Linked DNA regions of Rhinolophus ferrumequinum. The protein of the gene in region 4 interacts with the protein of the main gene of each other region in a biochemical or structural test. Links are inferred from orthologs where the notes say so. Each region holds a gene or a part of one and is shown on either strand. Other genes may lie near its edges.

Evidence for each region.
Region 1: the proteins of ESR1 (region 4) and ARNT form a complex in vitro, tested with the Homo sapiens proteins (2 studies listed by BioGRID). The link is inferred for Rhinolophus ferrumequinum from reciprocal best matches to the Homo sapiens genes ESR1 and ARNT.
Region 2: the proteins of ESR1 (region 4) and PRMT2 form a complex in vitro, tested with the Homo sapiens proteins (2 studies listed by BioGRID and IntAct). The link is inferred for Rhinolophus ferrumequinum from reciprocal best matches to the Homo sapiens genes ESR1 and PRMT2.
Region 3: the proteins of ESR1 (region 4) and FOXO1 form a complex in vitro, tested with the Homo sapiens proteins (2 studies listed by BioGRID). The link is inferred for Rhinolophus ferrumequinum from reciprocal best matches to the Homo sapiens genes ESR1 and FOXO1.

Annotation. Positions count from the first base shown.
Region 1 is NC_046305.1:51,032,464-51,039,698, reverse strand, and holds the start of ARNT (aryl hydrocarbon receptor nuclear translocator), read left to right. Parts: upstream 1-4,218; 5' UTR 4,219-4,365; coding exon 4,366-4,390; intron 4,391-7,235. UniProt on the Homo sapiens protein: Required for activity of the AHR. Upon ligand binding, AHR translocates into the nucleus, where it heterodimerizes with ARNT and induces transcription by binding to xenobiotic response elements (XRE).
Region 2 is NC_046285.1:109,210,822-109,218,103, forward strand, and holds the start of PRMT2 (protein arginine N-methyltransferase 2), read left to right. Parts: upstream 1-4,267; 5' UTR 4,268-4,424; intron 4,425-5,530; exon of another isoform or gene 5,531-5,533; 5' UTR 5,534-5,593; coding exon 5,594-5,632; intron 5,633-7,282. UniProt on the Homo sapiens protein: Arginine methyltransferase that methylates the guanidino nitrogens of arginyl residues in proteins such as STAT3, FBL, histone H4. Acts as a coactivator (with NCOA2) of the androgen receptor (AR)-mediated transactivation.
Region 3 is NC_046287.1:85,279,234-85,286,680, reverse strand, and holds the start of FOXO1 (forkhead box protein O1), read left to right. Parts: upstream 1-4,442; 5' UTR 4,443-4,877; coding exon 4,878-5,528; intron 5,529-7,447. UniProt on the Homo sapiens protein: Transcription factor that is the main target of insulin signaling and regulates metabolic homeostasis in response to oxidative stress.
Region 4 is NC_046286.1:94,554,697-94,562,693, forward strand, and holds the start of ESR1 (estrogen receptor), read left to right. Parts: upstream 1-4,978; 5' UTR 4,979-5,095; intron 5,096-7,997.

The DNA.
Region 1 (7,235 bases), on a different chromosome or scaffold from region 4:
TACATATACCATGTTTTTTCCTAACCATGAGGTGTGAGTAAAAAATATGGTGGATGTTTAAATTTAAAAAAAAATTATTACAGTAAAAGACATATTGCCATTAATCCCCCTCAAATTACTCCCCCTTGCTTCGAACACACTTATCCCATCGTTCTTGCCACTTTCTGAAGCAGTTCTGGAAGTCCTCTTTCGTGAGCGTCTTTAGTTGCACGGTCTGTGGCTACCTCTATGTCCTGAATCGATTCAAAATGTTTACCTTTCATGGTCATTTTGACTTTGGGGGAGAGCCAGGCATCTCATGGTGCCAGGTCTGGTGAATAAGGTGGATGAGGACACGCCGTAACGTTTTTATTTGACAGAAATTGCCGTATAACAGAAGTGATGTGTGACACGAGTGTTGTCGTGACGGAGGGTGAAACTGTTTGCCCATTTCATGTTAATGCATTGTTCATAATTCATGATTTACGACACACTTTACAACACAACTTCTCTCAACCGTAGCTCACACCTGACTGACTGCACCGAACAAGTTGAAACTTGTCACACACTGTTACTAAGGTTCAATGTGCTGCTTCCATATTAAAGAGCCCTGTCTTTCCATTTGGATGGCATTTGGCAGCAGCATTCACCATATTTTGTGATCACAATGGAAAGGCTCCATGTCATACATCGCTTCTGGTATGACAATTTCTGTCAAATAAAAACATTATGGTGTGTCTTCATTCACCATATTCACCGGATCTGACACGCTGTGACTTCTGTCTCTTCCCCAAAGTCAAAATGATTCAGGACATCATGGCAGCCACAACAGTGCAACTAAAGACACTCACGAAAGAGGACTTCCAGAACTGCTTCAGAAAGAGGCAGAAACTGGTGAACACACAATGGGATTTATAGATGATGTAATACAGAATTGTACACCTGAAATCTACGTAATTTTACTAACAATTGTCACCCCAATAAATTAAAAAAAAAAAAGTGGCAGAAACTATGTGATAAGGGTGTTCGAAGTGAGGGGGAGTATTTTGAGGGGAATTAATGGCAATGTGTCTTTCACTGTAATGTATATTTTTAAAATTTAAATATTCACCATATTGTTTGCTCATACCTCATATACATACCCATGATAAAATTTAATTTATAAAGAGATTAACAATAATAACTAACAGTAAAACAGAACAATTATAACAACATACTACAGTAAAAGTTTTGTGAATGTGGTCTCCCTCTCTCTCAAAATATTTTGTTGTACTGCATTCACCCTTCTTTTTTTGGTGATGATCTGAGATGAGAATGCTTATGTGATGAGATGTAGTGAGGTGGAATTTTCCCTTTAGTATTTTTGGACTGCGGGTGACCGCAGGTAGCTGAAACCATGAAAAGTAAAACTGGGGATAAGGGGAGACTACTGTAATTGGATTTAACATGGATCTAGTATCATGAAGAGTTTCTAATTGAAGACAGTTTTCAGTAATTTGTGAGATCCTAAGTAGAAGAGCATAAGGCAACCTCAAAAGTTCAATGTTTCAACTTGGGAGAGAATAGGAGCTGTATTCAGTTGCATGGGTTGTATCCGGCTCTGAAAAGTGTTTTTCCCCCATTCAGTTGCAACATTTGGATGTGGTTTAAAATATGTTCAATAATGCGCCATTGACTTTTTTTTTCTCTGATGAAGAAAACTATCATGTATTGTGAAATAATAAGCTTTTGGCAGTCAAGGCATTTCTCTAACAGTCTGGTTTTCTTACAAAATCCCGATACTTTGTTTAAGATTAAAAATCATGGCATTTAGAACTAGAAGTCGTAAGTTCAGGTTAATAAAAATAATGAAAATATTGTTCAGATAAACCGTTAGGGCAAACTTACTATCTGGAAAAAATAGATGTGTTTTTAGTATTATATGTATAGTAAAGAAGGGATTTTTACTCCAGTCTGTTTTAATAACCTTGTGAAAGTACCTTTCCCATTATTGGCCTCCATACTTCATTGTGGAAAAAGTAGTCTTCTATCATTTGCCTATTTCTTCTCAAAGATTATGCTTACTGGCTGCTATTTTACTATATTTACAGTTTATACTATTTTGTTCTATGCTGAATCAGAATCAGGAGAAATACTCCTCTGAATAAAACAGAAAGTGGACCGACCTTTTATTTCTTGTAGGAATAATATCCTTTCTACACCCAAAGCTACAACTCCATCAGTTTTGATCCTAAGATACCTTTTCCAGACTTTCTCATACCTCACAAAATAATTCTTTTTTAAATGACAGTTTTTTTCTAAATAAAAATATCTTCTTCTGTAACTTGAATTTTAAATGATAAACCAAATAGGAAGTTTCTGGGCATTTTTCCTTAGGTACTGCACACGAGTATATGCTGTGCAATGATTCATAGTGTAGATACCAACGGTGTCTGCTTTGAAGGTAATCATCTGTTAGTAAGTACAGGGCTGATATTGTCTTTTCGTATTGTATACCATGATTATTTCTTTGTGATATTTAATTAGGGATTTTTTTGGCCAATAGCTTGTTATGCTTTCTCCAAGCAAAACATTCTTTATTAACTTTGTAGCTAGGTATACAAGCATCTCTGAAACAAAATGACTTTCACCATTTTTTTTAAATGAAGTGTGTAACTTGGATCTTTTTTATCTACACATTCACCTATTCATACTGGAAAACATTGTTTTGCATTTACTCTGGAAAAATACATTTTACTTGGCAGCAAGGTTATTATTGTATCTGGTTCAAAAATGATTTGAAAGCTTGGATGGCTTTTTGAATAACTGACAAAATTTTCTAACAGTCAAGGTGTAGTGGGCAAGGGACAAATGGATTGCTGGCCCAATAAAATCCAATTTTCAGATATTCATAGTTGTACTTCCTATTTATATTTTTATTTTTTTGTTGCTTGGATGAACTTACCACATTTAAAGGTACATAATAATTCACATTCTATATCTGCACAACTAGCTACCTTTACCACCTAACTTTGACCTGAAGTACTTGTTACTTTTTTCCCTACTTCTTATGCTTCAATGTACTTCTTCTGAGTGGATGATTTTTCTCAGTGTTGGTGAATTGGAAATGCAACACAACAAAATGGTAACAAATAAAACTTTAATTCTAACAAATGTAAACAATAATATACAAATTATGTTATACTACTTCTGCTGAGGTTAAACTATACTGTGAACTCAGAGAAATGAATCAATGTAATCTTTGTAGTACACATATAATCTATAAAATGCAAAGATGCACAACAGCATAATGGGAATTCTGTTAAAATTCTAATTAAATTTATATTAAACAGTTTGTGAAAGACATCTGAGAAGGTAATATCTTATAGTGCTAAAACGGGAATGGGTGTAATGTGTTCCCAGAATCAGACGCCTTTGGTTTGCCTTCCACACCACTAACTAGCTGGATGTTCCCTGCTTAACTTCTGCTTTTGTTCCCTTATCTGCAATGTGGAAATGATACAGTAATAGTATTGACCTCACAATGTTGTGAGGATTACAACATATAAAGCAGTTTAGACAGTGCCTCTCCCAAAGTGCTCAATGATTCCTATATTATTAGAAAATAATTTGTGCAGTTCTCATCTTATCACTTCCCTATTAAAACTCCATTACTACATCTCTATTTTTGACCAAAGGAAGTTATTGCACTCAATCAAAACACTTTCTTCATATATTGCCTCCTGGTTTTGGCTGTCGATGTCTCCTTTTGTAGACCGTAAGCGCCCAGATTCTCTTGTACTACCAGTTCTATAGCAGACATTCAAAAATTAGTTATTGAACTTTTTTCACCAGGGACAAAGGTGTTAAAAGAGGGAAAACTATAGAAAGGATTACAAATCACCACGTGAAGTTTAAGCATTAGAGCACCCTAAAGAGGGTTTACGAAACCAATCGTCTGGAGAGTGGCCAACCGGGCGAATCCACCACCAAAGGAAGCTTTTTAGTAAAATAGTTTTTCACTGACGTCACTCATCACTGACCTCTGACGCACAGGAGGTGGGATTAGGGAGACAGCTGACTTCTTCCTCGCCCTCCCTCCTCCACTGGACCCGCTGCCTGAGTAGCCAACTCTGCCTCTGGTCGATTTGGCGTTTCCATTGGTCGGTTTCCCCAAGGAGGCCGGCCTTGGGGCTGACTCCGCCCCTATGTGGGCGGGGTCTCTCCGCCTTAGGGTCTGGGGACGGTGGGGGTTGCCGCGGCCGCCATCTTGGATTCCGCGGTAGCAGTGGCGGCTGTAGGGCGCCGCGTCTGGGGAGTGGTTCTCCGCTCTTGCTCCCCACCAGTTCGGTGACGGCGGCTCCTCCCACTCGGGGGAGGGCTGCCTCGGCGGTGGCACCTACGGCCATGGCGGCAACTACTGCTAACCCCGGTGAGGAGACGGAGGACTGGGGCGCCTCTAAAGGAGGAGGGGCTGAAAGGGTTGGCAGCTGAGGAGACCCAGGGCTGAGGGGCCGAAGTTGGGGCTGAGGGCGCTGGGACGCGCGGGGGCGACGAGGGGGCGGTGGGGGAGGGGAGTGACCTGGGGGAGGGGCCCAGCCCTGGGGACCTGGGGAGACCCGAGGTGGAGGGAGGGAGCCGGTGGTGGGAGTTGAGGGTTCGGTTCCCCGAGTTCTGCTGGAGTTGCTGCCCGCACGGGGCTGGCCGGCCTGCACTCCTCCGGCCGCGTCCTGGTGTGCCGTGTGGTCCCCTTTCAACCCTCTGCCCACTGGAGCTGCGTGATGCCCAGTGACTGTGGGCAGAGGGTCTTGGTTTCCTTTAAAAGTAGTTTGGATTGATAAACACTGGACCACGTTGCTGTTTAGTTAAGGTGGTACTTCCACATGTTTAAACGTTTAGATTTTCATGTCTGTTAAAAAAAATCTTTCAATACCGGTATATTCTCCCAGTTTTTCTAGGCTGTACCTCCACGTCCCCCTACACCCCAGCCCCCGGGCTGTTCTTTGAAACTTGCGTTTCTGCTTGAAGAGGTGCCTCTAGGGTCTGGCTGCTGAAGGCAGAGGTTTGTGAAGTGGTTGAGGTTCAGGGCAGATCTTGCCAACAGCAAGCATGCATCCAGAACCCCAAGTTTAAATACTGTTAGGTGTGGATCGAGACAAGTTCAGTTCCATGCCATTTCTCAATGGTCATTTCTTCACAAGAGGGAGCTTGGACATTAAAAAACAAAAAACAACAAAAAAAGACAACCAGTCGAGTCTAAGAGATGGAGTGGGGAGTAGTGCAGCAGGTTTAGACAGATAGGTCTTCAAATTCCTAGTCCTCTTTCCACTATATTGTAGTTATGTTTCCCTAGGAAGTATTTCATTTTAGGCGTCTTAGTTTGCCTTGCTGACTTTGGCCATTCTCCTGCAAAATAAAATCCCTTCCTAGAAATTCCTATCTTTGATAGACTTAAAAAAAAAAAAAAGAAAAAAGAGCAAGCAGTAGAGGTGAATTTGTTGAAAATACTGCAGTGGAAGGGATTCAATGCTGTTTCCACGCTGAAATTTAGATTTCTTTCATGGCTCTGAAAGTCAGTATTATTTTGCAATACCCAGATTTTGCTATTACACTTGAATCACTGAAATTTAGTTTTTCCCACCATGTATCTGGGAACAGAGATATTTAAAGAAGGTCAATATCATATTTTAAAATCTTTAAAAAAATTTTTTAGAGGAAAAGGAGATAAAATTAATGGCTGAAATTCCAGTGCAGGAAGTGCTGAGTGATGGAATCAAATTGGAAAGATGCTATTACCATATATTAATTTTTGCTCCAAAAGATACATTAGAGCTGATGGTCCGGCTAGGTCTTATTTTTGGGGAAACGTGGTATTATGGCCTTGTAGGAAAATAACCTCTATCTGTTAACTGGGGAGTAAATAAACAAGATTTTATACTGGTAACACGTTGCAAAATACTTATATAACCCTAGTCAAGTTGCAGAGCATTTCTCTTATTAAGAGGTGGCCTGGCTAAACAAGTTCAGTTCATGTCAGAAGCTTTTTTCCAGCAGTGTGGGTGGGGTTGATCTATTTTGTTTTGTTTTTTGAACAACAGTAACCAGAATGATAATCTCTTGACCACATTTTCATTAGCTGATCAATATCAGCTTTAATCTGTAAGCAGAAAATAGCAAGTATTTGTGCAGAATCCTTGCTAATGAAACAGTGGATTTTGTTTGTTGTCCTTTGGCAGCCTGCTTCTTCACTTTGTAGATTTCTTTTTTGTTTGTGAAAAATTCTTCCACTTATTGATCCCATGTTCCACACATTATAATTAAATTAGAAGATGTATTTTTTTTCAAGTCTCCTTTTACTCTGTTATATCAAAAGAAAGATCATAGATGTACTGTGGACTTTTAGTAGCCTGCTGCATTTTGGGAAATGAGGACACAGGATGGAAATGTACTGTGCTCAGTGAAAAGACAGTAAATGGTTTTCAGGTTGGAAGTCTTTGTTGTCTGGTCAAACTTTCTTTTCTTAGAGCCATGTTAGGGACTAGTTACATCATACCTATTTCTTTGAGTTTTTCTACTTTTTTTTTTTTTTTTTTTGCTGGTGGTTAAGTTTCCCTACAGTTCATGTTCTATCTTTACATATATCTACAAAGGATTTTTAAATAATTATTTGACTCCTCTCTAAGCTTCATTTATGTTAATCCACAGCATTAATAACAATGCTTGATCATTTTAATTGTATTTAGAGTATAATTTAGAGACTATTGATGGCTCTTTATAATGTCTTGCAGGGGACCTGGTTCCTTTGTATTTTCACTGTCTTAACATGGTGCTGGATCAAAAGAAGAGTAAGATTATACTCTAAGAGTTATGCTGACGTAATATAGTTCTAATGTGATGATGGCCTTTTTCTGCATGAACTGATAATTCTTCATATTCTATTAATTTTCACTAATTCTACAAACAGGAGTGGGTGGGTAGGTGGTCCATGAAGTTTTAGGCCATATCTTTCTTGTCTATGAATACTATCAATTTTGAGGAGCGCTTTAAATTGCGTGTGTGATTTGTAATGCATTGGCTAAGGAGCTGATAGCGAAGAGATTAGGTATTTGATTTACAATTCAGTATTCAAACCAGAGAACCATGAATGAGTTTGTGCAAGTGTAGGTTCTTCCTCCCTTCATTCTGGTATTCTCCTTAGTAGAGACCTCTTTTTTGTGCTAGTACCGTTTATTGTGGATGGAGAATATGGTAGAAGGCAAGGGAAGGAACACTGTTTG
Region 2 (7,282 bases), on a different chromosome or scaffold from region 4:
GAAGAGTCATTCTGGCTTGAGTTTCCAGGAGCAAAGGCCTTGGGCAGCAACGTTGTTCTCACACAAAGGACAGTGCCATCCGCCACCAAGCTGCTCACGAGGTTGGTTACAGGGACCCGTGTCCATAGGGAGAGAAAGACGCCTGTGTTCTAAAGGGACGTGGGAGAAGGGACAAAGGCTTCTGTTGTAGCAAATGCCAGTGTCCAGGCGAAGAGAATTAATCGCCTTTCCTGTTCTACAGAAGGCTGTTGCCAGACCGCAGGAGGCCGTGGGTGAGCCCTGGGGCTGGGTTCAAGTCTGCCTCTGCCCAGAGACCCTTGGGAAATGACTGCACCTTTCTCAGCCTCTGTAAAAGAGGAACCCTGAGGACTGTTGGAGGAGTAAATGAAATTTTGCACGCACACACGCACGCGTGCGCATGTACGTATAGTGTGCAGTGCCCGATGCTCTCGATCAATGGTCATTATTATCAAAGTGACTATCCTTGTGTATCCAAACACCTGCAGCTGGCAGGTAAACTCCTGGTGCAGAAGGTGGACAAAGAAAACAGGCAGATCGCTTTCTGAGCACAGAATGAACTCACTGGCTAATGTACAACTTGGCAAACTTTGCGGGAGTATCGCGTGTTGTTATGTTTATGCCACATCAGGTTCTGTGAATCCATTTGGTTGTAGCAGCCGTCCCAGGACCGCTGCTCCCTTCCAAAGGGCAGCCCAGCATGAGCAGAACTGCCTGGCTTTGCTTTGGACCCATGGCCGTATTAGGTCCCAGCTCAAAACAGCAGGGCTTTTGTTTCTGTTTTTCCACTTTTTCTTCTTTTCCGTTTTGAGAAGGAGCTGGACATGGGAGCACAGTGAGCACCCTTTCCCTGCTGGCTTCATGCATGAGGCTTTTGCCCAGGGAACTGCCTCTCCGTGCAATGTGAGAGGAAGTACTGAACCAACGAAGGGAAACCGCGGCTTCCTCTGTGGTAGGACTGCTGCAGACTATCTGACCAACGCTTTTCACTTTCACGGACTCTTGGAAATTTGCCATAAAATTACATCAGGTTTAAAGTTTTAAAAATCACTGTATGAGCCTCTTTGGTGGTTTACTCAATGGGAACAAATTTTTTTTATTTACTCTGTAATCACACATTTTTATAACTTCCTCCCATTATGGGCCCAGAACAGCACAGTATTCAACCACATTAAACCAAATGAACAACAACAAAACCTAATCAATTCTTAAAATTATGTAACTAATAAGGATTCATACACCTGGACTTAAAAAATGCTTCTGTGAGATTGAACCATCTCTAATAAGACTGACCCTGGAGGTGGGGATGAGTTAATTATTCTGAGATTTAAATAAAGAATGTACCAAGCAAACCAGAGACAATGAAAGCTAAGGGGGTATAAATCTGGAAGCCTAATTTCTAGCAGTATATAAGTTTATGTTTTCCTTTCTGATAGTTGGGTTTTTTTATTGCCTACTTGCCCTAGTATGCTGGCTAGGATTTCCTGTTGCTGTGTATTGGTTTGTTATGATTTGTTATGCCTTAAGTGAAGTTATTTTGATCGAAGGGTGAATTTCTTTATATGAGGGGTTGTGTCGGGATGATGTCATCAGCATTATTGTGCTTATTAATATGAACACATGGAGGAGTGACTATGATGTAATGAACATTTAAACTGTGGTACCAAGAGTGTCCAGTCTGGGCAAGGCTACTCTTGGCTCATCTAAGTAGCTCTCTGAGGCACCAGCTCCTGCCATGGCCAGGCTACTCTCTGCCAGCACTGGTGAAAACTGCAGTGGCCCGTGGAGGAGACCATCCTGCCCGCCAACACTGGCGCCTGTGTTCCACCAGCATCGCACTCCAAAAACAGGGACTTTCAATTTGCGCTGGCAGCTGGGTGTCAGCGCTTGATTGGCTGAGCCAGCTCTCCCGAGAACCAGCAGCTCGTAGAGAGGTGCACCTCAGCTACATCTGGACTTAATCTCTTTCATCTCCCCTTTGCTTGGAACAATGATATACTTATCTATCATTAGAGTATATTTCTTTATTGGCTTATTAAGAGATATTATCCTGTATGCTATTGGCTTGTGACATATTATTATAAGTTGTAATTCCTGCACTGAACCTATGTTAAATAAATTATTGGCAAAGACACTGTCAGTGTCTGAGCATAATTTTGCCATGAACAAAACGCCTATAAAATGTTGAATAAAGTGAAAGTGGATGCATTTGCTTTGTTTCTGATAAAAAGTTTCAATATAACATCATTATGGTTTTAGCGTTAGGGTTTTTGATAGATTCCTTTTAATAGATAGATGATGTTCTATTTTTGTTGATTTAAAATGATTGGGTATTGAATTTTGTCAAATCCTTTTTAAAATTTATTGAAATGATTATATATTTTCCCCCATTCTATTAATATGGTGAATTGTATTAATTTTCAAGTGTTAGTCCAAGTTTGCATTACTGGGATAAACTCCACTTGGCCATAATGTATCACCCTCAGTATATATTGTTAAGTTTGATTTCCTAATGTTTTCTAAAGGATTTTTGCATCAATTTTTATGAAGAATATTAATTATTCTTTATTTTTTGTGAGGTATTTTTATTAGAGTTATGTGTGCCTTATTAACAAACTGGGACGTGTCCAGCCCCTATTTTCTTAAAATTTTAATGTTGGTGTTACTTCTTCCTTATACATTTGATGGAATTCACCATTGAAATCATTTAGGGCTGGAATTTTCTTTGTGAGGTTTTTTTAATAACAAATTTAATTGATTAAATATAAATATATAATATATAATATAAACCATATTTGGTCATGATACGTAATCACTTTATGTATCACTGGATTGTTTTTGCTAACATTTTATAGCAGTGTTAATATTGGCTGCATAGAACCGGTTAGGAAGTCACTTTTCTCTGTTTTCTGGAAGAATTTGTGTAACATGGGTATTAGTTTCTCCTTGTTTGGAACCATTTACTAGTGACACCATCTGGGCCTGGAGTATTCTTTGTAAGAAGGTTTTAAATTATGAAGTCAATTCCTTTAGCAGATAGTATGCAGATTTTCTAAATATTCTTGTTCATTTTTGGTAATTTGTGTTTTTCAAGGAATTTGTGGAACTTATCTAACTTGTCAAGTTTCGTAATGTTTGTCTTTTAAAAACCTATGGAATCTCTATACTGAATTCTTTTTTCATTCCTCATATTGGTACTTCGTGCTTCTGCTTCTTTTAAAAAAAATTGTGGTAGAAGACCCGTAAGCTAAAATTTACCACCTTAACCATTTGTAAGTGTAGACAGAGTTCCGTGCAGTAAATACACTGGCCCTGTGGTCCAACCGTTTCCATCCTGTGAAACAAGCCCTTTCCAGTTACCAGTATCTCCTCTCTCCCCAGCCCCGCCGCCACCAAGCTGCCGCGTCGGTGATATTGACGCCCGCCTCCCTCCGAGACCAGCCCACGCTAACGCGCACTGACGTCTTTCCCAACGCCCTCTTGGGGAAATAAAAACGTAATCCCTCTGCTTCCGTTTGTCAAGTGGAAAGAATGACAAATGGTTCACACCTCACAGCGCAGTGAGGTAACTGAAGTACAAGAAAAACACGAGAAAGGGGGTCCTGATCCAAAAACAGCCATTTCTGTCGCCCATAAATGGGTTTCCGACAACTGTCCCCTGGCCTCGCTCCCCGTCTCAGAGTCGGGAAGCAGCCCCGGCGCCGGGTCCCCTTGCCCCGCCCACACACCAGGCCCGGCGCTGCTCCCGGTGCTCAGCTCCCGGGTTAGCGCAACGGCCACCGGCGCGACAAGTGACACGCGCCCGCGCGGCGCGCTCGCCCCAGGCCCGGGCCTCTTCGCGAAGGAGCTGAGCGCCTCGCGCCCGCGCGGGCGGAGGACGGTAGCTCCACTTGTCCGGACAGCGGAGCGCATGAAACAAACTGGGATGTGTCCAGCCCCTATTTTCTTAAAATTTTAGTGTTGGTGTTACTTCTTCCTTATACATTTGATGGAATTCACCAGTGAAATCATTTAGGGCTGGAATTTTCTTTGTGAGGTTTTTTTAAATAACAAATTTAACTGATTAAATATAAATATATAATATGTAATATAAACCATATTTGGTCATGATACGTAATCACTTTATGTATCACTGGATTGTTTTTGCTCACATTTTATAGCAGTGTTTATGCTGGCTGCATAGAACCGGTTAGGAAGTAATTCACTCGTCTCTTTTCTGGAAGAATTTGTGTAACATGCGCATGCGCGGGGCCCCGGCCCCGGGGTGGGGCCTCCTCCGCTGACGTCCTGCTCGCACTGCGCCTGCGCGGGCCGAGGGCTGTGGCTCCGGCTCGTGGTAGGCACCGTCCGCCCCTCCGCGCTGACTGTGTGGATCGCGCAAAACTCAGCGGACAGACGCGGCTGAGGTAGGTTTCCCGTGGGCAGCTCGGGCGGCTGAACCGCACGTAGGCAGGACATGCCAGGTGAGAGGGCCTCGCCCGACGTGTGCGTGAGCGGGCTGACCGAGGCCTCCGCCCCCTTCCGAGACCACCCGTGTCTTCCCCGCGAGCTCGGCGCCCCGCCCCTTTCCGCAGCCACGCCCTTCCGCAGCCACGCCTCCAGGCACGCCCACCTCCCGGCGCGCCCTCTTGTCAGGCGTGTCAAACCCTCGCCCGCCCTAGGCCGATGTCACACTCCCTTCCCCGCTTACTCCCGGTGCTGCGTCAGCGCCCCGCCCCTCCCTTTACGCTCTCCACTTTCACCCCAATCTCGTTGGCCACCTGCCCCTCGTGATCCAGGGGTCGCTCCCCCCCACAGTGCACGGAGTCTGCGTCTCTTTGCGGTCCGCTCACCTGGCCCGCCCCGCTCTGGCCCCGCCCCATCAACCCGGCCCTCCCAGTCCTTGGCCGGCCCTGTCCCATCCTGGTTCCAGTGCAGTTTTACAATGAAAATGCAACGTATGTATATTAGTATTTGTAACCACGGATGTCACAAAATTAAGTATTAGGTCCTGATTTACAAAAGAAGCACTCATTTTAAGCAGACTTGCTATGTAATTGAGAAAACATCTTAAAACGTACTGCAGATTACACTGTCACTGGAAAAATAAGAATTGAGAATGAGAAGGAAAAGCCTCTGGAAGATGCAAACCTTGGCTCCTGTTAGTGGAAACACTTTAAAGCTCCAGGTAGGGAAGTTTAATTGGAATTAAAGCTAATAAGGTTCCAAGAAAAGATTTGACATCGATTTGTTTTAAATCAACCCTGTGATCTGACAGAAAACAGATTTCAGCCAGTGATTAAGAGTAACACCTTGCAGACTAGTGAAGAAAACACATACTTCTTTGAAGTTCATAAATTTTAAATGCTTTCCATTGTTTTTGTAAAGAATTGGGTTTATAAATTTTATTTCTGTTCCATTCATTACACATAACACATTTGAGTTCTATTTGGTAGAGGACCTTTATCACGGACCTTAGAAGCTTAATTATTATGCAATGTAATGAAGCATTTTCTCATTCTCTCTTTTAAAGCAGAAATGGAGAGGAAAATGAAACATTAACAGTGGCAGCTATGCGGCACATCCTAAGAGAACTATGGCAACATCAGATGACTGCCCCGGAAGTGAATTGCAGGTAAGTTCAGTTCTGGTGGTGAGAACATGAACATTACAGAGCTGAGATCATCCACAGTGATGGCACTTTCGTTGGGTGTATGAACGTGGCCACCAACCACATTGTAAGCATTTCCTAGGAATCTAGGGTTCCGTTTTTGGTACCTGTGCTGTTTAAGCAAGCACATTTTCTTAGTTGTTCAATTAAGTTCCAGGCATAATCCATTAAAGGCAGGTCGAACACCTTAGAAAAGATTTATGTATTCATGCTGCTTTTCTGCCTGGGACACGTAGAACTTCATTCAAGTTAGCAGTAAAATTTCAAGGACTGTTGATTAGGTAAAATTAAAAACTAAAGGAATACTCAAGTAACTTTTTTTTTTTTTAAGATTTTTAATTTTTTTTATTGGGGAAGGGGTACAGGACTTTATTGGGGAACAGTGTGTACTTCCAGGACTTTTTTCCAAGTCAAGTTGTTGTCCTTTCAGTCTTAGTTGTGGAGGGCGCAGCTCAGCTCCATGTCCAATTGTCGTTGCTAGTTGCAGTGGGCGCAGCCCACCATTCCTTGCGGGACTCGAGGAATTGAACTGGCAACCTTGTGGTTAAGAGCCCACTGGCCTATGTGGGAATCGAACCGGCAGCCTTCAGAGTTAGGAGCACGGAGCTCCAACCGCCTGAGCCACCGTGCTGGCCCACATTTTTTTTTTTTAATTAAACCTTTCCATGTCTGTGATGTTAATTTTAACATTTCTTCTTTTCATTCTAATGATCTAATTTCATTTAAGTTTTTATATATAGCAATTTTATTTATATTTGGGTCATTTTATTAATCTTTCTTAAAATTAATGATAAAATGTTTTAATTCCATAGCTGTTTCATTTTTCTTTTGAGAAATATAAAAGATATTGGAACATTTACAGAATAATATTGGAAATACCCAGTACATATTATACAGAAGTGAAAATTTGTTAATGTTTTGTCATGTTTGCCTCAGAATACACACACACACACACACTAAACCATAAATAACATTTATTCCCCAACCCCAGTCCCATTTTTCCTCTTTCTCCACAGGCAAACGCTATGAAAATTATGAATTGATCTTTGTGCTCTGCACCATTTTTTATACTTTTAGACCATAAGGTCTAGGCATCGCTTAAGTGGCATCATATTCTGTGTGTCATCTGCAGCTGGCCTTTTGCACTAATGTTACTTGGGGGATTTTTCCTTGGTGTGTGTGTGGAGCTGGTTCAGTCCTAAAGGGTGCTCCTAGAGCGTGTTCCTTATGGGAACAATATGTATTAATACATAGGTCTGTGTACACTGGGTATACACCACATTTTCTGTATTTCCCTGTTGTTGGACACTTACATTGTTTCCAGTTTTTTCTATTCCAAAGAGTGCTGCAATGACCGTCCATGTACATGTCTCCTTGTGCACATGTGCTCTAGGGTGTATACCCAGTAATGGCATTGCAGGGTGGAAGGGATTGTATCGTTTCAGTTTTACTAGATAATGATCGATCGTTCTCCCAAGTGGTCTACCAGTTCACAGATCTGCCAATAGTCCACAGTGCTTGCTAACACTTGAGAGCATCAGACTTTTTCAGTCAATCTGATAGGTTAGAAATGGTACCTTGTTATTTTAGTTTTCTGATTACTTGTGAGTCATG
Region 3 (7,447 bases), on a different chromosome or scaffold from region 4:
GTTTTCTTACCTGTAAAATGAAAGTTTGTGTTAGACCAATAACGATCACCTATAAATTCTTTCCCCAGATAAAACCACAGCAAACGCTTTGAGCTGACAGTAATACCTTACAACTTTTTAAATACTGTATCACCAGCATTGTTGTAATGTACAAATGTTTTGTCCACTTTATTTTAAATGACTACATAAGATTCTACCTTACAGATATGCCATTATTTATTTAGCCATTCTCTATTGTTGGTTATTTAGATTATCTACAAATATATTTAAGAATTCCTGTAGAAACCCACAAGTAGTCTTTCACTAACACTTCAAGTGAAGGAACGGAGGTTATAGAAGCTGAGAAACATTGGCTATTCATAACAGAGTTGAAAATATGGGATATCTGGTTCATGACTTGCCCAATCCTTCTCCTTCGTTACAGATTAGGAAGCACCATTTTTATATGTGATGGACAAATAATCTGACGTAGCCTGGGTCTTTTATCCATTTCAGGCAAGATTATCCCAACTCCAAGGTTTGGTAGCCAGAGTTCATACTCCCTGTGGATGGTGCATTATTTAGTTTCTCTACCTCATCTTATTATTTTTCTTCCAAACGCTGCTGATAATAATATTTCAATTTTTTTCCTGCTTTAGCAGTCCTTGTATCCATGAAATACTTTGTGTGTAATTCCTCCAAAAAAATATTGTCAGTGTTCATTGCCAATTATTTAAGAACAACATAGTTTTCACTTTGACATCAAATATCATATAAAGGAAAACAAAATCAACCATTTATAACCTCAAGGAGTTTGCTATGAAAGCAATGTATTCTAAGATGTTCAGCATCTGGCATGTACATAGTAGGCACTTTATAAATATTTGTTGAATGAACAACAAAATCCAAAGGATATTATCTCTCAAGAAAAATGAATGCCTACTTCTGATATTAGATATTAACTATGGTACTACTTTACCTGCCAGCTTTCAGGACATTGGTTTAAGAACCCAAAGCTGTATTTTTTCAGATTATTATTTTCTATGTGCAAAGTGAAGAAAGGCTGTTTTAGGTTGATAGTAGTACCTCTAAATAATTCAGACACAATATTGAAATGGACAGTTGTTGGGGAAAGGGAATGTGAAGTATGATGCTCGGTGTCATGACCGGAAAAAAAAGCATCCAGGCTTTTCACTTACTCATTAAACTGGACTTAAATTACCTATTTTTATGAGTAAGAATTTAAACCAGAAATCTGTGTGTTGATGGTGAGGGGTAAATGTAGAAGTTTCTGCCTGGGAATTGATCAAAGGTAACCATCTCTCAGTCTTCCTGTCAAGGATGATGCAATAATTACTCTGAAAACCAGGCAGAGAAAAGAACATCATATTGGTGAGATGGGCTCTGTGAGAATAAATTTCCTTTTTCATTCTAATTGTCATAACCTGACACGAAAAATTTTTCTTCTCAATCTGGACACATGCACCAACTAATAATTGATAATCATTAGAAAAAGTTTTCAAAGCAAACAGCCATCACAAAAAATACTGAAGGAGAAAAGAAATGAAACTTTTTCTTTAAAGCAGAACTATGGTAGTGCCAACCTAAATACTTTGGCATCCTTCAAAGAGAGACAAAATGTTTATTTACATTTTTGACTTAAAAAAACCCCACTTCTTTTGTAATCTTTTTTTTTCCATTATCTTACTATCACCATAACCTTTTTGTGTCTGCTTTTTAAATCTTTTAAATCAAAACTTCAGTTCAGTAGAGTTCATCTAACTAAAATGACTAAATCTGTAGGATTGACTGGGAACACATCACAGTTTTATAGTGGTTATCTCTATACTGGGATTACAGAATATTTATAGTTTTCCATCTGTGTATTGAGAAGATTATTGATAGGAGAGCAAGAAATTGAAGCTCTAGCCCTGGTCTTGGGCCATAGGGCCTTGGGCAAATCAATTGGGTAGTCTGTGCCTCAATTTCCTTATCTATAAATTAAAGGGGGCCACCAAGTAGCTTGATATAGTACTCATGGAGGGCAATTTTGGCAGTGTGTCTCAAAATTATAAATGCATTTAACTGCTGACCCAGTGATCTGTTTTCCAGAAATTCCTTCTATAGATATACTTGGACAGATGCAAACTGAGTTACATAAGGTTATTCATTACAGAATAGCTTGTGATAATTGAAGATTGGAAATAAGACAAATATTCCCCAGTATTCTACAGTTCAGTAAATTGATACCTACAAAGGTATGGTAGGAAGCTATAAACACCTTTTAACATATATTTTTAATTTTTTTGACCTACGAGTATGTGTCAGGGACATTGGCGCTGTAGGACTCTGAGCCTGCTTCAAGTCAAATTTTATAAAAGACCAAAATGAAGCAAACTATGACATTCAAAGAAACAATCAGGCAGACTAGCCCAGAAGATTCCAAGGATTTGGGCAAAGTATGTAACAAAAGTCAATCAAATACTCTCCCCCCATTGAGGGCCTGAAAAACCGGAATTGAAGTCAAAGCCAAATTTGCAGCTGGCTTCCTTTGCCAAGAATGATCCACTAGGGCACCGCCTATTTGTAGGGTGCGGCCGTCTGGATTGGGGGCTGCCTCTGCATAATGTAATTGGAAAGGTTGAGGGGTAGTAACAGTTGGACATTAGGGCCTTCCTTTGAGCTCACCATCTGGGTTACTGAGGTCCCCTAGCGGCTAGCAGAGAAGGCCCGAATTGTCCAAATTTTACAGTAAACGCAAAAAAGAGCATAAGAAGAAGAGGATGGGAACCAACCCTATCCTCAATTCACCAGGCTCACCAAACGCCCACGCCCAGTATCACTCGGAAACTGTCGTGATAAGTGGATTATGAAGAAATATGAGTAAGTGGACTAGGGAGATAATAGTGAAAATGTAAAGTAAGAAATAAATTTCTTAAGTCTTCAAACTTTCGAACAAGAGGCCTACTTTTCTTAAGATGTCATTTTTTTTTTTCAATTGAATTACCTGGAAAAAAATGAGTTTTTTTTTTTTTTTAAAGAATTGGGAGCTGTCATTTTGGACAAGATATTTTAAACCCTGTCAATCTTCCATCCTAAGTGATCCCATCCCTCTGAAAGGAAATGCCTTCCATATTCCTCCTAAAAATGCAAAGCAAAACAAAACTTGAAAACTGTTTCTTCTGCTCCCTGAGACACAAGGACCATTGTCTTCCCACCTTTGGCCTCACTGATCTCTACAGGACGTCCTGGACCTGGAGCCCAGATGGAGAAAGATGGGGTGGGTGGGTTGATTGACGCACGAGGCAAGCAGCCTAAAGGAACCTGGGGGTGGGGAAGGACTGTGCCCCAAGACTCTTGAGTTTTTACTTCTCAACAACTCATCGTTTTAATTCTAAATAGCAAAGAAATTAAAATCAAACAGTTAAACTTAAGAGTCAGAATTAAAGTGACAAGTTTACGTGTAAATGCTGTCCTCTTACTCCTTCCCCGCCATCCCTGGACTGACTCGGTGGATAGTTTGCGATTCCTGCCCAGAAGAGGTTCCCACGGACGGCACGAGGTCTAGGATGCCTTTGGGACTGCGTGTGCGTGTGAAAAAGGACCATTTCGCTGCGCCGCGCCCTTTCCCCTCATTTCTAGCCTTTTAGGTCAAGAATGGAGTGAGTGAATCCGGATAGTGGCTGCCGGGCTGGGCGACTGGCCCCGGGCTAGAGCGAACTGCAGAGGCTCAGTTAAGGGGTGCGGACAGGTGGGTTCCGGGCGCGGAGGCGGTGGGAGGGTGCTCGTCGCGCGGATTTGACCGCCAGGGTCCCGGCGCCCGGGGCCCTCTGTGCGACCGTGGCCGGGGCAGGACGACTTGAAAGATCACGGAGAAAGAAAACACCAAAACAAAACCCACCGACTGCCCCACGTTTCTTTGCAAAGAAACCGTGGGTGGAGCCCAGAGCTGGGCTATTTATTGAGTAGAATTCCGCGAGGTCGTCTCCGCCCACCCACCCAGCGCCCCCAGAGCTCTGCGTGTCCCACATCCCCAAAGTGGAGCTTCACTCCACTTTGGGCTCGGAGCGGAGGTCGAGACAAAGTGAGCGACTTCTTCCACGGGTGCTTCCAGAGTACTCGGCTTTGCTCCTCAATAGTAAACAAAGTGTCGCCGCCGCCTCCACGCTCTTTTGCCTCCTAGCAATCAAATACTGAGACGGGCGAGAGACTCACAGAAACATTTGAGAATTACCAGAAAATAAGACATCCAAAATAAAAATAAAAAGAGAGAGTGTGTGAAAGAGAAAAACACCCCACTACCCCCCACCAACTCACTGCCACCTCCCGGTGGAAAATCGGCCCCCGCCCAGGACCTCGTCCACTGGCTGCCTGGGCGGCGGTGCCGCGCGCTCATTGGCCGCCCGGGCTGTTAGTCAGGGGCGGGCCGGCGTGCGCGCCGCTGCGGGCGGGGGGTGGCGGCAGATCCCGTAAGTCGGGAGGCCGCGTAGTAGCTGCAGCCTTCGCCGCCGCCGCCACATTCAACAGGCAGCAGCACCGCAGTCGCGCCGCCCGGGAGAGCGAGCGGCTCGCGGCGTCGGTCCGTCCTCCGGTCCGCGGGCCCTGTCAGCAGGAGCGCGGCGCCGGCGCTGTCCGGGCCCGGCGACACTGGTCAGCCGTCCCGTCGGTGCAGCGGACTCGGAGGAGCCTAGATGTTGATGGACTCGCGAAGTTAAGTTCTGGGCTCGCGCTGCCACTACACCGCGCCTTCCTCCCGGTTTCCATCCGCCGGCGGCACAGACTTCGCCCCCACCCCCCACCAATCTCGGACGGGCTCTTCGCGCCCTCTTCTCCTTGGCCCCCAGTGCCTCGCTTTACCCCTGGGCTCTACCGCGGCTGGGGGAGGGGCGGGGGTCACCATGGCCGAAGCGCCCCAGGTGGTGGAGATCGACCCGGACTTCGAGCCGCTTCCGCGGCCGCGCTCGTGCACCTGGCCGCTGCCCAGGCCGGAGTTTAGCCAGTCCAACTCGGCCACCTCCAGCCCGGCGCCGTCGGGCGGCGCGGCCGCCAACCCCGACGCCGCGGCAGGCCTGCCCTCGGCCTCGGCGGCTGCTGTCAACGCTGACTTCATGAGCAACCTGAGCCTGCTGGAAGAGAGCGGGGACTTCCAGCAGGCGCCCGGCTCCGTGGCGGCGGCCGCGGCGGCGGCCGCGGTGGCGGCGGCGGCGGCCGCCGCAGCTGCCGCCACCGGGGGGCTGTGCGGGGACTTCCAGGGCCCGGAGGCGGGCTGCCTGCACCCAGCGCCGCCGCAGCCCCCGCCTCCCGGGCCGCTGTCGCAGCACCCGCCTGTTCCCCCGGCCGCCGCGGGGCCTCTCGCGGGGCAGCCGCGCAAGAGTAGTTCGTCCCGCCGCAACGCGTGGGGCAACCTATCCTACGCAGACCTCATCACCAAGGCCATCGAGAGCTCCGCGGAGAAGCGGCTCACACTGTCGCAGATTTACGAATGGATGGTCAAGAGTGTGCCCTACTTCAAGGATAAGGGAGACAGTAACAGCTCGGCCGGCTGGAAGGTGAGTGGTCTTGGGGCACATGGTCGGATGGAGGAGGGGGCGCAGGGACTTCTCTGCCGGCACTTGAGGTCGGAGTAGGGCAGATGAGGGGGTGGCTGTGCAAGTTTCCTTGTCCTGAAAGTGCAGGGCACACGAGCAGCGCGTGCAGGGAGCAGGCGAGAAGTGGCAGATATAGGTTGTGGGCTTGCTTGGGACGGGTTGGGGGACTGGAATAAGTGTGCGCGCGCTCAAATGCGAGTTGGAGTGGGACGGGGCACGGGCTCGTTTGGAAACTGAGGGAGTGAAAAAAGTACAAGAAGTGACATCAGCGGGCAGAAAATTTCGCCGGTAAAAGAAGGTGATTCACTGGGAGGTGCTCCCCCACGGCCGGTGTGGACTCCTGCCGCAGCTCCTTTTCCTCCAGGACCTCGCGGGTGAGGCCGGCTCCTTTCCGCCCCCTTGGGCCGAGCCGGGGAGCCGTTTCCGTTGTGCTTGGCCCTGGTGGGCACGGCGAGGGGCATCTGAGCCCCCCACCCCCACAGCGGGGGATGGGGCTGCAGGTGGAGGGCAGAAGCAGGGCGCGGGCCGGCCCGTGGGGGCTGGCCGTGCAGTTTTTGGAGGCCGGTGTGCATTTTGCTTTGTATTGATTTTATCCGTGGTGGCCTTGAGTTCAGGGGACCCGGCGCTCCAAGCCCGAGGTATCTCATCCAACACGTGCAAAGGGATGGTCACCGCCAGCAGAGCTGCGGCGTCCGGCCGTGCCGGGCGAGTTAAAGTTCAAGTGTGACCCTCGGCGGGGGCGGAGGCGGGAGCTGGCGGTGGCGAGGGAGGGGCCGAGGGTGCAGGAAGCGAGCGCCTTTAAAGGGCCAGCGCGTCCTGGCGGTGAGCAGCTTAAGGCCCGGTTGCCGGGCGTTGCGGCGGGCACTTCTCTACGCAAGGAAGTGCCCCCAAAGTTGGTCTCGCCCTTGGTCCGAGGCCTTTAATTAGGCACGGCGAGGCTCCTCTGGGTGACCAGGGCTGGGTACGTGTGTACCCTCTCGCTTTGCCCCCTCAGTGTTACCGAAAACGGAGATGTAGAGATCCGAGGGCCAAGGCCGGGGGCTTTGAGATAAGTGTTTTGGAGGCGTTGGAATGGATGTGCGCATCTGGGGACCCGGCAGGGACCTTCTCCTGCCTTCACGGCAGGACTGCAGATGAGGCGCTTCTGGCCTTTTCTGCCATTCAGAGAGACCCGGAGAGACGGTGGGGGCAGTCACATTCCTACCTCCAGGTGAAGGTCTGCGGCCCCTCTAGAGGACGGGCTCTCGGGACGGTTACCCAGGGTCCATTTGCCTTCAGGCCTCCTAAAGCTGACAGTTTCTCAGGCACAGGTGGAGGTATTGATGCTAAGATTCTCTGGTTGAGCCAGACTCCTTCGTCACCTCTCATGCTGACTGTACAGCATAGTAAAATTAATCATAATCTTTATGTACAGCATAATCTTGGCGCAGTTGTTACACCAAGGTTGTTTTACATACACTGCCATACTTGTGGTTATTGTGTCAAAAAGTTTAAGTAATTCACATCGTATTTAAGTTTCTTGGAGGAGCCAGGATTTTATTTTTTCCAAAGTGTGTTTTAGAGTAAAGTTAGCACTTAGCACCTCATTACTAGGCATACATGCTATTTTACCAAGTGTTTTTAAAAAAGGTAAAGAGCCTCACTGCAATCTCAATATATATTCTTTTAAGTCACAAAGTGGGGATTCCCTGCCAAATCCAATTTTACTTAACATTTGAATTTAAGTATTTGAGTGACTTGCTCATTTATGGATCCTACTTGAGCTATGATAAAGCACTTGCCATTTAAAAAAAAATCCTTTTTTTTTTTTTTTTGGCATTCAAAGTACAGTGTGTACTTTACACCATTCTTTTATGTCCTTGGAAATGGATACAACCTAT
Region 4 (7,997 bases):
TGGGGGGCAGAGTCTGAAGTTCCTCTAATCCCTAGTTCCCTAGAATATACCAGCCCAGGAAAAACAATAGGATAAAAATAGCAATAACAAGGGAGGGGGGTGGTAGATGAGGGTAAAAGGGAACAAATATATGGTGATGGAAGGAGACCTGACTCTGGGTGGTGAACACACAATGTGACATGTAGATGTCGTATTACAGAATTGTACACCTGAAATCTGTAACTTTGCTAACAATGATCACCCCAATAAACTTTAGTTAAAAAAAAAAGCAATAACAAAATAATATTTTTCTCACCCTGCTCTCCGTCAACTGTTTTACAACCTGCAGTCCTTTCAAATTTTTCCTTCCGGTGGTGCCAGGTGAATAAGCAAACGCCGCAGAAATTGTCACAGGTGCTGAGCCTCACTGCAGGGCCTGCTGAAGCCACCAATGTCATCCAAGGCTGTTGCTACTGGTGTCAATCAGAGGCGCCAACACGGGCAGGCGAAGGTGGCCATATCATCAAGTGGGGAGTACGCTTCACTCCTACTTATTATCTGGTTTAGGAGTCAAAGCTTCCCTTTGTTTTCAGTGTCTTACAGAGATTTTTGTTTTCCTCTGCCTTTTATAGCAACTTCTCCTTTCATTATGATTCCAGTGTTTGTGCAAGGTGGGCAGTTGAAGGACTCAGGATAAATTCCGTGGTGTATTTAAAATCATTTTTCTCTGGCACTGGCTCCTTGGCCTTGGATGAGATTTGTAAAGTTTTCCCCTTAGAAGTACACCTTAGTCATCCATGAAAATAGACTACTGGAAGGGCCACCCCTCTTTGAATTCTAGTTGAGACCCTGCTTCCCACCGAGAAGTATGTGCATTTGGGTATCTGCAGAGCAAGACTGATGGGGTAGGAGTGGTGGTGAGCGACAGGGGTTTGGGGGGGACAGAGGGGCAGGGTCTCAGGGGAGTAGAAAGGGTCAGAGAGCTCTGTTCTTTGCTCAGCAGGGTAAATAGCTTTTTCATTTTAGATCATTGTATTCTTCACATGTTATTTCCTTTGTCACCTCTATAAATATGAAAGCCCATTTATTTTCCTAACAATTTTTTCAATAACTGTATCCTCGCATGGATGTTCATGACTTGATAGACATCTTTTTCTATACACAGAAAAGGCATGCAATTTATGAAGGCAGATTTTAAAGGCCTTTCTGTAAATGAAGTGTAAGGTTTAACTGAATTTATTCTTTTTGCAAAAGAATTTTCTGCCTGACCTTGTTATATCAAAGGAGATAGACCTTTTTCTTTGTCTTTCTTTCTTTCTTTCTTTCTTTCTTTCTTTCTTTCTTTCTTTCTTTCTTTCTTTCTTTCTTTCTTTCTTTCTTTCTTTCTTTCTTTCTTTCTTTCTTTCTTTCTTTCTTTCTTTCTTTCTTCCTTCCTTCCTTCCTTCCTTCCTTCCTTCCTTCCTTCCTTCCTTCCTTCCTTCCTTCCTTCCTTCCTTCCTTTTTTCTTCCTTCCTCCCTTCCTCCCTTTCTCTCTTTCTCTCTCTCTCTCTCTCTCTCTCTCTCTCTCTCTCTCTCTCTCTCTCTCTCTCTCTCTCTCAGAAAGACTACTTTTATCCCTATAAGCTTCAACCAGATAGCTTCAACATTAAGTAAATGACAGTCCAGTCATCAGGTATTGGTCATATTAAGGCTATTTTCAAATACCTTGGTCTTGTACACTTAAAACAGAACTGCTGGATTTTGTGCTTTTTGCTACAAAAACTAACACCTGTGATCTGGGATGAGTATTTTAGTTATACTCTTTTGATGGCAAGGGCCAGAGACTCCCTTAAATACCTAGTAATAAAGGTTCTGGAAGAATCTGTGTGACGTCCACAACCCTGCCAGTGACCAGGGCAGCTGTATCCAGACCATGCCACGTGCTCATGGACCCAGGGCCCCATATTTGTTCGTCTTGGCTCGTTGGGTTTCTCTGTCCCTGCGTAACTTCAGTTTCTAAGGGCATTTGCTTACTATGACCTGCACTCTACCCCAAGACTTCCTTCCTCCCTGTGTGTTTCACTAGCTCAGTCTAGGTTTCCAAAATTCATACTCCTGTGAATCTGAATGTGATTGGTCAAATTCATCTTTTCCCATTAGGTTATGTCCTTGGTCACTGGCCTATCTTGGTCAGATGTTTGTCTCTGGCCCAATTAGCTGTGATCTGAGGGGGGCTGATGTGACTTGGTTGTCTAGGCAACAGGAGCCTAGGGCAGGGCAATTTCTCTTAGAAAGATGAGTGAGTGGGTGCTCAGGTACTGACTGATACCTCAAGGCAAGCAGAGTTTCAATTTTGATTGCTCATCATGAGAAAAACTAGAAGTCAGAGCTGCTTCTATAATGTGATGGAATCTGGATAGTGTTTAGCGCAGTTCTCAATTTCCATTTCCAATTTTCCACATCTCTGCTAATAAGGACAAATGAAGAATTTGTGCCATTAACTATGTAATCGAGTCCCAAACTCTTCTATCATCTGGGTGTCCGACAAAAACACACACTCCAAATCAAAAACCTGAGTTTTATTTTAACCCGAATCACCCAGATCACAGCAAGATTTTGCCTGAGTGACACAGAGAGATTGCACCAATTTTCTGCTTTACTTTGTTTGTGGAGACCAGGCTTTTAATGGTTACTTCTGGAATGAGAGGACGTATTAAAAAAGGTTGGAACCTGGAAATATTTCTAGCATTGTATTGCATTGCTTTACTTAAATTGGTCTTTTCTTATTTGTTTTCCATTATTCAGTTTATTTATAATGGTGAATGCAATTTAATTAGAAACTTTACCTCAGAGGAGATTTTGTTTTCTATAAGAATGCACAGAATATTTTAAAACAATGTTAGCCCAAGGAGACACTTTAATTTTTAATGATTTCATTAGAATAAGATGATTAATAAACACTTTTTGGTATCAATCTGTAGAAACGGTTATTACCCATTCACTGATAACCTTTCCACTTTTTCTTCCCATGAAGACATGTAAAACACGTGTGTCCTCATAGTACGTTCTCATTTAGTGGTTCTGATTCTGCAGTGCAGTGTTAAAATCTTGAGTGCTCGAGTCCAGTTCACTCCAGCTGTGAAATGTAGGTATAAGTACTTAATCTTGGTATCCCATGGTTTCCTCATTTGTAAAATGAGTACTTTACAATAGTACTTCATCGGGTTAGAATAATATCTGACTTCTAGTGTGTGCCCAGAAGACATTTGCTATTATTTTTTTCTCTCTCCCACTTCAGAAAGCACATATTGGAATGCAAATGAATGTCACTAATAGTCTTTTAAGGATAATTAATTCAATTTATATTTTATATAACTTTTATATTATTCAGTTATATTTTCTAGTGAAAAAAAAAATCTATAACCTTCAGTCCAGAATCTACCGGATGTCCTATTTTGAGAACTGTTGCTCTAAGTAATTTTCTCCTCTGTATTGATGTGTGCAACTGATTTTAACAGGTAGCTAAGTGCTGTTTGAAAAGTGCAGTTCATCCATTCTGGCAAAAAAAAAAAAAATTGAAGGATTTAATTAATTTAGAAAAAAATATTTTGCTTTCAAAATATTTAAACTGTTCAAAACATTTTATTGAAGAATTTACCTTGTCAGAAATCATAATAAAAATAATAATGTAGTAAAACTACCATAATACATTACGTGATTGTTTTTTTTTTTTAATTAAAGTTTATTGGGGTGACAATTGTTAGTAAAGTGACATAGATTTCAGGTGTATAATTCTGTATTACACCATCTATAAATCCCATTGTGTGTTCACCACCCAGAGCATGATTGTTCTTTTAGTAAGTGAATCTTGTTGAAATTTCATGTTTCTTAATTTAAAATTAAATCCTTTATCTATTAGCTAAAACGTGTCCTGCTCTACATATCCTGTGCAAATTAATCTCAGACAAATTCATATATTCAAATTATTTTATGGGTAAACTTACTAATACAGAGAAGACTGAAGACAGTTAAGATATTTTTATTTCAAACTGTTTCAAAAGCGTTGATTCTGAGATTTTTGATTTTTTTTTTTTCTAAGCCGATTTTGAGATTCACCTCTTGCCCTACAGATGTAAACCTGAACTTGGAGATTCTAGGACCCAGCAGCCAGAGAAACATCCCCCTTTACCTTCTCTTCAACCATTCTCACCTCCAGAAAACTAGCCTTTCCTATGCTTTGTAGAGTAGAAAAAAATCTAATATATTAAAAAAAAAAAAATCCTTTACAACACATACTACATAAACCACTGCAGACTTTATCAGGTATTAACATTTCAATATTATTTTAAGAAATTTCAATTTTATTTTTTAGCCCATTTTCTACTTCTGAATGTTTATCTCAGGGTAAACAAAACAAAACACCCACAAACTCTTAAATGGCTGCAGGAAATGCCAGACAGTTTATGGAAATATCGTCTGATAGAAGGAATGGCTTCAGCGTCAGGGAGAAGCTAAGCCTCTGCAGGTTAAAAGTCAAGAACCTAATTAATCAGTGACGAGAAATACAGGTTGTTGAGTCAATGGCTGAACGAGAATGTTACGAAAATGCTCACAGAAGACACGTCCTCCCTCCTGCTCTTAGCTGTGACTAATTTTGGATTAACAAAATTTATGTGCTGAGTGAAGGCTTTATTTATTTTTTCCTACTGGACATGCCCGTCTAGACTTCAAGCTTTATTAGTAGCAAAGAGAAAATCAGCTGGATTACGGAAAAATAGTTCAGGCAGATTAAACAGACTCCTTACCCCTTGTTAAACATCTGCCTTGATCGAAGTGCTCAGAAAGTTAGAATCGGGCCTGGTGTGGAGAAAGGAAGGCCACCCCCTCCTCTACTTTGTACAGGAGATTTTCCACTCCTAGTCAAATGGTGGTGCTAGTTCTTTAGTTTTGAGTTACTGCATTTCCTAATTTCATGGTCATAGCCTCCTGCCTCCTGCCTCAGAGCCGATTGCACCAAAACTGAAAATGCAGGCTCCATGCTCAGAAGCTTCTTAATGGGCTCGAAAGGTTACTGTCCTTTCTCTTGCTCATTCTATAGCATAAGAAGACAGTCTTTGAGTGACATTCTTCTCTTCAAGTAGGTACTCCTGTTTCTTCTCTTTCAATTTATTTATTTTTCCTTTTGGCTATCTGTGCTACTATTTACAAGCATGAGGTAACTTTAGAGTTTCCCTCTCATGTGAAAGGATGTTCCTTTTTCGCTTAACGCTCCAGGGATATTTTGCAAAGTTGCTGACAAGTATGGCTACGACATTAAAATGTTAAGTCTAAGCTTGGTACAGTGGAAATTCACTTTTGGAGTAATAGTCAGCTGATTCAGAGGGCAACATGACTATCCTTAGCACAGCACTGACAGGCTGCCTGCCCGCCCCAGATAATGTGTATTTATTGGATCCAGCTCTAGCTGTGAGAAACTGCATTGTTGAAATGTGTCGGAATTTGAAAGTTATTAATTGGACTGATGGCGGGCTAGCCTGAACACACTACCTGTTTTCTTAAACTTTGGTGCCATAATTTATGTGAGTTGGAACTAAGCCATATGAATAAGCTCTTATTTGTTTCCTGAAAGCAGTCAAGTTTTCTGAAAAGCTACGCAATCTAGCAATACAAAAGTGAGACACCCTGTTTTTCAATTGCCCTGTGATTTTAGGCAAGTTCTTTTCAGTCCTGCTGCCTTCGTTTGCCTCTCTGTGAAAAAACGATTGGTCACTTTTTGCAGCAGGAGGGTGTGTATGTGAACGCCTTCCCCCTATAGAGCGGTGTGATCCTTGAGAAATGATGTGGCAGTCACAAAAGGCAGGGCAGGATACTTTCATTTTGGTTAGAGGGATGCCACACGCTTCAGGAAATGTGCGCTAAGTTGTTAAGTTTCATGCTTTGTCAAGAGGGTAACCATTTTTTGTTCTCTTAGACATGCCCATAAAGCCAACGAGTTGGGCTTTATCAAGACTTGGGGTCATGGCGCTGATTCCCGTCTAAAGGTGCCAGGTTTCTATTGGATTTATAGGCCAGATCTAATAAGCTTGCAGAGCAACTCCAAGCAGAAGGTTGCTGGGAAAATCATCGCGTTTTGAATGTGTGTATATCTATATCCATATAGATATCCATATACATATATGTGTATATCTATATTATATTAGCATATAATATATGTTAATGTTGAGAGTGAACTTATGAATATGAAGTAGAAATATTTGAATTTTATCTTAAAACCCAGAGAGCCGAAAAAAAAAGAAAGAAAAGAAATTGGATGGGAACTTCTGAGACCTAGGGTTCAGAGCCAATTTCTACTCTATAAAATTCTTTCCTATTTCTTAAATGCAAATGTTTGTTGCGATTTTGTTAATATCCTCTGAAGACTGCCCACCAGGCCTTGGCGTGCGTGGGAATAATATTCCAGAGGTTAGACAAAATACTATAGTGGTTGTTAGATTGTCGAAGAAATTATGAACAAAAGCAATGTAAATATCAGAGATGTGATATGTAGAAAAGAAAAGCAAAATGTTGAATATGAATGTAAAGCTTGTATTTACTAGCAGGATATTTTTCTAGCCCCTTAGAGATATTTGTTTTGTTTTATTGCTTGTGACAGTCAAGGAAAGGGATAAACTCATATGTCTTAAACTTGCAGCAAGAACAAAGCTAAACAGTTAATTGAAACAGTCTTTCAATTAACTCTGTGTCTTTCATTCAGTTTGGGATTTAGAGCTAGGAACCCTCTACCTTCCTCCTAATACTCACTCTAAATAGAAATGTTCACACTGGGTGCCTGCTGAACACGTTTATATTATTATCTGTGGATTCTCTGAGTATTTGTCCGTATTCATTTAGCCCCATTGGTCAAAGCAACTTCTGGGTCTCAGGGCCCAGGGGTTGGGCTTCAGTTTGCTTTGAACAGAGAACAGTTCTGCTGCACGGTTACAGACTGGTTACAAAGAAAACTGAGAAGAATGACAGTGACCCAGCTTTGCGTACAATATTCATGGCACAAATTTCATCGATGTTGGTTGAGGCGTGGTCCTGCTCATTCACCTTTATCAGGGCTTGCACTATCTACTCCTACACATATTTTGCTAGAAAGCTCACACTTCTGTTCCACTCTTCCATAGCAGTCATTCTTTGGTGAGGACCCAGACATTAAGTAGCTTAATTCAAATCCACAGAAGACGGCGAGGTAAAAGCTCCCACCACCTTCTAACTGTGCAGTTTCAACTCTGGCTTCAAATGCTTCATCTGCAAAGCAGGCAATTATGAATAGCTGCCGGTTATAATTGTGTGGAATAAATAAGATTAAACCATTCATTAAACTACTTGCAGTCTTCAAGTGTTAGGAACTCAATATGACAAAGTCATTTTTCTTCCAATTATAGCACCGTGCCTGGTAATAGGTGCTGGCTGAATAAATGACCAGAACTACGGCCAGCACCGTAGCTGCTAGGAGTTTATGTCCATCTGACCATAACTGGGAACTTGACCTGAATTAGAAAAGGCAATAAATCCATCCAGCTGAGCATGCTGACACATTGCTGCTTTTGTAAATGAGCATAAAGTGTTGGAAGAGAAAGTGCCGAAATCTCCAACGTCCTTCCCTCCATTATTCATCTCCTCTGTGACTATAAGGGTAATGATATTCCTTTGTGATGAGAACAGTAGCAAAGAAAATGGCAGATTCTTGCTGTGACCAGTATGTAAAAAACTTATTACAAATGCTTCATGTTTGTTTGTTTGTTTGTTTTACATCAAAAAAAGCATTTTGTTTGGTTGTTGTGCAAGGTATGAATTTATGCACATACAAGTATAGGATTGTATGCTAACTTTTAATTCAACATGAAGCTAGAGACCTCTCTCCCTCACCCACTCTGTAATGAATATTTAGTGCTCCTGAGGTGGTAGTAATAAAATTGTATTAGCACCTAACATTTAGGGAGCTCTGACTTAGTGCAATAGCCATTTTTTATAGACATTATCACATTAAATCC